2 linked regions of the Coturnix japonica genome follow. Each later gene encodes a partner of the first gene's protein in a complex. Links are inferred from orthologs where the notes say so. Each region holds a gene or a part of one and is shown on either strand. Other genes may lie near its edges.

The links.
Region 2: the proteins of CFAP36 (region 1) and ARL3 are in contact, whole or in part, in a crystal structure (PDB 4ZI3), measured with the Mus musculus proteins. The link is inferred for Coturnix japonica from reciprocal best matches to the Homo sapiens genes CFAP36 and ARL3. Residues at the interface, in NP_080016.1 of Mus musculus: Glu44, Glu45, Ser46, Lys47, Leu48, Thr51, Glu52, Lys58, Val61, Glu62, Leu65, Glu76, Phe79, Gln80, Cys83, Thr84, Ala88, Lys89, Leu97, Val100, Leu101, Ala103, Glu104, Asp105, Phe106, Thr107, Ile108; in NP_062692.1 of Mus musculus: Leu3, Leu4, Ile6, Leu7, Arg8, Lys9, Leu10, Lys11, Ser12, Arg19, Lys35, Glu40, Pro47, Thr48, Gln49, Gly50, Phe51, Asn52, Ile53, Lys54, Trp66, Ile74, Tyr77, Ser80, Tyr81.

Annotation. Positions count from the first base shown.
Region 1 is NC_029518.1:7,374,035-7,377,851, reverse strand, and holds part of CFAP36 (cilia- and flagella-associated protein 36), read left to right. Parts: coding exon 1-55; intron 56-943; coding exon 944-1,045; intron 1,046-1,916; coding exon 1,917-2,031; intron 2,032-2,956; coding exon 2,957-3,044; intron 3,045-3,817. UniProt on the Homo sapiens protein: May act as an effector for ARL3.
Region 2 is NC_029521.1:20,414,712-20,418,528, reverse strand, and holds part of ARL3 (ADP-ribosylation factor-like protein 3), read left to right. Parts: intron 1-1,808; coding exon 1,809-1,952; intron 1,953-2,763; coding exon 2,764-2,880; intron 2,881-3,263; exon of another isoform or gene 3,264-3,817. UniProt on the Homo sapiens protein: Small GTP-binding protein which cycles between an inactive GDP-bound and an active GTP-bound form, and the rate of cycling is regulated by guanine nucleotide exchange factors (GEF) and GTPase-activating proteins (GAP).

The sequences.
Region 1 (3,817 bases):
TGAAGAAGAAAGCAAGCTGTCTTACACAGAAATTTATCAGGAATACCAAGCGCTGGTGAGTGTTATTTGCTATTAGTGGTAGATTTCTAAGAAATAATATGCTGACAGAAATAATAATAATAATAATATTTCTAGTTGTGTTATATTTGTTATTCAGAATTTTCTAATGTTGCATGCCATAAATATTTAGGTATCCTTTGAGCCATAGTCATCTTTGCATTTTTGGCTTAAACACAGAAATGCAGGAATGTTATTTTTTCTTACACAGTTACCTATTTTTCCTTAATGTTAGTGCATTGGCTAGCTAGAACACTGTTTATAAGCTGGAGAGTCTTCACACGTTATGCAAAGTTAAAATGACAAACAGCACAATGTTAGAAAACATGTAAAACTTGTTTCCTTATGAGACCAGTAAACCTATTGAATTATTTCAAGTATCAGAACAAAATACAGAATGTTTTTGGAGCATGCTGAAAATAACTTATAAATCAATGCATGCAGTTTTCTAAAGTGTTTCCTTATGACAAGACTTGGTAGTACTCGATGTCAGGAACCATGAGTGGAATGAATATAGGCCAGCAGTGATTTCTGCTGTGGTCCTGAAGCATATTGGATACAAAGACTGGCAGAATGAAAATCTTTTTACATAACAAGTACAGATGTTGAGTAATATCAGCTGGGAGTCTGGAGAGAAGGTGGAGAGGTGAGGTCCCTGGAAGTTGTAGAGGTTCAGTTAAGCAATAACCAGTTTCAGCAACAAAAATCAGCGTTGGTTTACAACGGATTATAGAAGCAAATAAGCCAGAAGTATTGGAGAAATCAGTTATGTTATTGCAGTGATTTCTTTGTGAGTTTTTAAAAAACACAATTGCAGCAAGAAAGAAGATACACCATGATTCATAGGGAAAAATCTCTTAGAAAGTAAGGTTTATATTTCTTACAGGTTGAAAAATTATTAGAAGGTTATCTTACAGAAGTTGGCATTACTGAAGAGAAATTTCAGGAAGCTTTTTCATCTCCTCTTGCAAAGACTCACACTTCTCAGGTATATTTTCCTTTGCTAAGGAATGCATAGATTTAATTTTTTAGCTTTGTCTTTCCACAGATGCATGTTTGAACATGCAAACAGATACACATTTGAAAAGCTTTCTTTTTAAAACTTCCATGTTCTAAAACCTAATGTATCTGTTTATATTATAAACTTTGACCGGCAAAATGTGTGTCTTTAAAACAGCAGCAGGTACTTGTGTGGAGTCGCTCTTTTGAGATTTGTCATCCATGCTTTGTACTATCTAAACCAAACCCCTAAGCTTAAAGGTATGCCCGCCACCTTTATTTGCAGATTTGTTAGCTTTATGGTAGCCTTCAGCCTGTTTATAGTAGCAGAAAAACTTTAAGATTAAAAAAAACAGACATAAAAGCAAAATGTGTTTTCCTCCAATTTTGTAAAAAATAAACAGTAAAATCTATAAGACAGAGATTACCCTGAGAAGACAAGGCATGATTCTGCACTGCTTAGCCTGCTGAAGGTTATCTTTAGGAACTGTCTCAGGTATATGGGGCAGAGAAGTGGGAGCTTCTCCTGCCAGTGTCAAGTTTGCTTTGTTGAAATATCTCCTCTAGCAAGATTTGTCAGAGTGCACATTCCTTGCTCAAGCTTACAGATTTGTTCTAGAAATCCAACAAACTGTGATTGTAAACTTACACTGGGTAACCCTCCAGGCTTTGTGATAATATTGTAGCCATGATGATGCAAGGAAATAAACCCTCAAATTGTTTTCTTGCCTGTAAACTCTACTTGTACAGCTAGAAAAAACAGACAGATAAAAGAATGAAATTTGATATAATTTCAAGCAAACCGAGAAGGTTTCGATTTCTGTAGCTTAATTAATTTGCGTGTATCTTCCTTCCCACAGGCCATTTTGCAAACAGTACTGGCAGCAGAAGATTTTAGACTATTTAAAAAAATGATGGTACAGAAAAATATGGAAATGCAGTTGCAAGCCATTAGAGTCATGAAAGAAAGAAATGGTAAGAAGTAGTAATGTGAGGTTTCTTTCTTTCTTTTTTTTCTTTTAAAAGACTGTGTAATACAGTTAGAAATGAAAACAGAATGCTGGTCTAGTTGAAGTTAAGGGAGAACAGTGAGCTGGTTTTAATGGGACCAGGAGTTCAATATTTAGTTTTTGGATTATATTCTCAGACACAGCAATTCATTATCCTCTTTAAAGTAGCAGATTGTGAACTCTATAAGATTTTGTGTGAAACTTGGTCTGTTTTTTGCTAGAGAATTTTATTGAGTGTTAATTGCATCAGCTCATCAGGAGCGAAGTGCCAATAGCTGAGCTGTGCTATTTGCAGAGTGGTGTTGGTGTACTGTCTCTCATGCCTACCACACTGTGAAAAAATCTATGGACAGAGCAGAAATTTGGTCTCTGTCATTGTAATAGATCAGTGCTGTTAGGAAAACATGTTTTACACTCAACTCTACTGCTCTGTTGATGTTTCTAGAAGTATTTTTATCCTCTCCTTCATTTAATCCATGTCTTCAGTGTTATTACTTTGCTTTGTCTTACCGTGCACATGTTTTTTCCAGAGAATAACTCTTAAATTTTAAGCTTGATGCAATACCTAGATTAGAAAATGGTTTGAATAACCATGGTTGATTTGTAGCCTGCAGGAAATACCATATAACAATCAATGCAGACTAAGCCTAATATTTTGCCCTCAGATATCAAAACATTTTTGTTTCAGAAACTTGTGCCTTTTTGTAACTTGGTGCTGAGGATGTGGAATCTTTTTTGTAAACAGTTTACAATAAGGAAGAATTAGGTATATTTTTTAGTTTCTCTCCTTTGCCGACAAGATTTATTTCTTATCTTTGGCTGAAGACTAATGCCAACGGAGTACAAAACAACATCCTTTAGAGTAATGCATACTTTTATATTTTTGGTAGGTGTGTTGCCTGACTGTTTGACAGAGGGTTCTGATGTATTCAGTGAAATTGAACAAGAAGAAATGAAAGTACTCAGGGAGGTTTTAAGGTAAAATAAGAAAACAGTCCTACTTTCCACCTTCCTTTAAAAGCAAAGGATATAGGATCTAATGCTTCTAGCCTTTTCTAAGAAACTGCTTTAAGATGGTATCAGAAAAATGAATTATACTAGACAGTGGATGTGATCAAAGGTATCTGAAGACATAAGAATTACCACTCTGCCATGATGGAACCATCTTAGTGATTTGTGGAATGATGTTCAACTTTAAAAGCCCCACTGGTTCCATTCTCCTCTGAATCACAAGGCAGAGCTGTGTTCAGTGACTCTGGTCAACAGAAGCACACTAGCTATAAGCTGTTCTGCGAGCACCCTAAACCCAGGTCTGGAGATATAAACCAACACTGCTTAAAGCAGCTTTATTACTCCTTAACAAGGGTACCATACTTCGTTCTGTGTCCTTTAAAACCTTGGAATGGCAAACTCTGCTTCTGCAGTAGTCTTTATTAGTTTCCACAGCTGCCTCCTTAGCTGTCTTTAATGACTCTGATTGTGATCTAAGATGCATGAGGACTGATACAACTTCTATAGATTCTCCTCCACTCCCGGTTCACCCATGTATAAAGACTCATGAACAAATAATAACATATTAACCCATTTGGGTTATATTAAATTATTTTGCCCTCTGTGTTCTGGAAGTACTTTTTCTTTAGCTGTCCAGAACATGCTGCTGTCACCACTGCTGAAACACATCATCAAGCACCTCACTGTGCTAATATCCAGTGCCTGGTCTCCGTAAACACTGAACAAGCATCTACAAATGT
Region 2 (3,817 bases), on another chromosome or scaffold:
ATGGGGAGCTGAGCTCTGTGTATTTAAAGGCCAACAAATGCAGCCATAAATCTGACTGCAGGTGAAAAAACCTGCTGCAGCCCCACAGAGCCAGCTGTGGGCACCCGGCCTTGGCACGGGGTGTCACAGCCTGGGCTGCAGGCGGTGCATGAGGGCATTGACCACCAGCAAGCAGAGCCTGCTCCCCATTAGCACCTTGAGCTGGGCCTGGCCTCCCAGGTGTGTAGCAGCCTGTTTATGGCGCAGGTGATGCAGCCCAAGGGGCAGGGTAAGATTTCACTTCACGAACTTTCATTGCACGAGCTCTGAATTTCTGACCCTCAGCTTTCCACAAAAGTGCAGTCACAATGGCAGCCACGCAGCATTCTACAAATATCCATCAAACAGTTTCAGTAAGTTCCTCCTCTTCTTTTGCATCATGTATTTGTGAGCTTCATCTGCTACTTACATAGATAGCCAACAGATTACTTCCAAATCCAAAATGCTTGGAGGGCATGGATCAAATCTAACCTGTGTTTGGGTCTGGTGTATTTTCACACCGTGCAGTGAAAGCTTTGACATCATGACGGGTAGTGCCACGTCCTTTCCAAACTGCACTTTGTGCAGCAGCAGCACAGCAACTCTGCAGCCCTTCATCCTGAGGACAGGCTTCTGATTGCTGTGATCTGGAGGGGATGAGGAGCAACCTTCATGGCTCAGATAGTCCTCAGCTCCCAGCAGGAATATTTAGAGGGCGCAGTTCCTCTTAGCAACAAAGCACTTTGTGACATTTAGCTAATTTTGCCCTTGTTGTCTCTGTTTTGCAAATGGGAGAACAAAACTGCTCGAGAGGTGGGCCCCTGCAGCCCAGGCTTGTGCTGATATCTGAACTTCATTCTCATGATTGCCCTTCGAGGCATGGCAGTGGTCTGTGGGAGGCTGAGCAGGATCCCAAAGGCTCCAGAAGGAGCTGTGGGTGCATTTTTCCTAGGCAAACAAGTTTCAGGAGCATCCATGCATCTCAGCCCTTCTCCTGCGGGGCTGAGGTCCAGATGGAAGCAGGGTGATTTGCTCCTTGTGGTTGCACGTCAGGATCTGGACCATTTTCCATCCTTTTCAGAAAGGTGCAGGTCTCTGACAAAAGCTTGGGTGTGCTGCTGTAACGTGCACAGTTGTAAATGAGCTGACCTGCATATTCTGTTTCCTAATCCTGAGTGATACTGTCAGCTCAGAGAGCTGAGCCTGGCTAATGACTGAAATCCACTGTGCTTTTCTTAGCGAGGACGTGTGGTGATCTGAGATAGCTGTTAAGTGCTACATCCTGAGAATCAGAACTGCACGTGCCCCATGGGTCCAGCATGTTTTAGACAGATAAACGGGGTTTGAGATGATCAGGGAGTTACTATGAAAAGAACTGATGTCAGGTGTGCCGTAACCTACAGCTAACTAGGAGGGAGATTAAATTAATGGGGTTTTCCCTCTGATAAAGATAATGAAGAGCTCGCAAGGACTTGGTTTGCAGCTCCTACATGTAATATCCTTAGGCACTGCCTTCCTGGCTTAGGCAGTGCCAAACAGCTGTGTGACATGAGCGATGCAGTCAGTGGCGCATCCCACTGAGTGGCATTTGTGCTGCCTGAGACCTCACTGATGCTCTTGGAGATGAAGGAGAATTGCAGGGAGGGGGAAGAGTAGGAAAGGAAGAGGGTAGGGGTTCAGTCTGTCCTGGGATCCAGCACTGAACAGAAGCTGTTTTAAGGGATGGGTCGCTCGGCCTGGTGGGGAAAGTCAGAGGGAAATAACAACTACAGTCTCTCTTGCTAATTTAGGGTTTACTGTCAATCCTGCGTAAACTGAAAAGCACCCCAGACCAGGAGGTGAGGATCCTCCTCTTGGGGCTGGATAATGCAGGCAAGACCACACTCCTGAAACAGCTGGCGTCTGAGGACATAAGCCACATCACACCAACACAGGTGAGGAAGGCCTTTTGTCTTACATCCAGCCAACTCCAAACATCCTGCATATTCCATCGTTCCCTCTCTGGTACCTCTGGCCCCCCTTCTTGGAGCATCAGGGTTGGGGAGATAGATGTCACCCATCAGAAATGCTGCAGCATTGCTCCTGTATTGACCAGAGGAGGTTGCTAGAGAGCTATGGGAGATGCTTCCCCCCACCCTGTAGCTGCCTTGCAAAGCTCCCAGCCCCAACACCCTAATTCCAAGTCCCAGTCCCCTGAGTGTTGCGGCAGCACGTTGCCAGCCCACGCCACATCCTGTTTTTCTACTTGAATGCCCTTTCAGTTGGTGCTTTAATTGATGAAATGGACCCTTCAGACATGCAGCTGTTGCTCTTTTAAGCCTGGCATTAGTTGCGTTGTGTCGAATTGAGCTGAGACCTCTGGCTTCACGTGAGCTGGGACTCTCTACTCAGCTTTCACAAGCTCAGTCCTGCTTCTCACAGTGCCCTTGTTTTCTCCTTATCTGCAGCTCTCCCACCTCTTCCTGCACCCACCCTGCTGAGCCTTTCCAGGGTACTAACTGCATCATATGTTTCCGTAGCCATGACAGCATCAACCCTTGGCCCAGGAACACAGGCCAGCTGATGGTTTAGTGGCTGTTCATTTTCACCAGTGCCTCTCCCGCAGCCGATCCATCTTTATGGCTGCCTGGCCCATCTCACAGCATGGTGCAGGCATGGGATATATAGGGTGCTAATGTCTGCCTGTGAATCTGATCCAGCCATTCAGGTTTATGCTCTATGTGCCTTTGTTTCTGCTCTTTCCAGGGCTTTAACATCAAAAGCGTACAGTCTCAAGGCTTCAAGCTGAACGTATGGGACATAGGCGGACAGAGGAAGATCAGGCCGTACTGGAGGAACTATTTTGAAAACACTGATATCCTTGTAAGTATTGGTTGCAGTTGAATGTTATCTTCATGTAATCCATGGTCTTGGCCAGAAAGGAACAAGTAGTGTAATGTCCCAGTTCTCAGCAACACCATTGCCATCATAACAGGAGTTATTCCAAGTGAAATGGCAAGATTGGTTGGGTACGCTAAGAAAAATACAGTGATGTTTGGAGAAGCCATTCAGTTGTATGTTTTTGCTTCCACGGGATGGTGCTGGCTGTGGCCAGTTCCTTTCTTCTCATCTCAGGCTCTTTCAAAAAAGCAAACATCAATAACCTGTAGTTTGCCCATCTATGGCTCTTTTCACTGGAGACTCCGAAAGCCTGTCATGGGTATGAGCGATTTAAACCTCATGTAGGTCAGTATGGAGCCTTTTTCACAGTTGGGGAAACCGAGGCACAGAAGAGTTAAACGTTGTGTCTGGCATCAGACAAGAAGGCTTCTGGCTGAGGGACACAGAGAGACCCCTTGTCTTTTCCTTTGGTCCTTTCATCATTACACTGTCCTTTAATGTTTTTGACATCTTAGCTGCAGTTACCTTACAATTAGCTACAGTTGACTACCATTATAATTACACTGTGGGACCATGCCAGAGCACGTTACCCTGGGACCTTCTAAGTGCTATCCTGACTAGTTTCAAAGAGCACCTCTAACATGCAGCCACACGTGGCAGGATGGAGACAGTCTGGGGGCTTCATGCCCACCCCCCTGCTAAGCACTGTTGCCAGTGGGAGCAGAGAAAAAGCCATTCTAAGCAAGGTCTGCAGGCTCCCATGGGAAAGCAGGAAGCTCTCTCTGAAAGACGCCCTTCCTCCCTTCTGTCTCACACACACATACATACTCACTGACTTGCTGGGAGCTTCAGTTCATTTCCACAGTGAGGATCAGTGCAACTAGGAGTAGGGCTCTTTGCTCCGAGGCTCACATCGGGG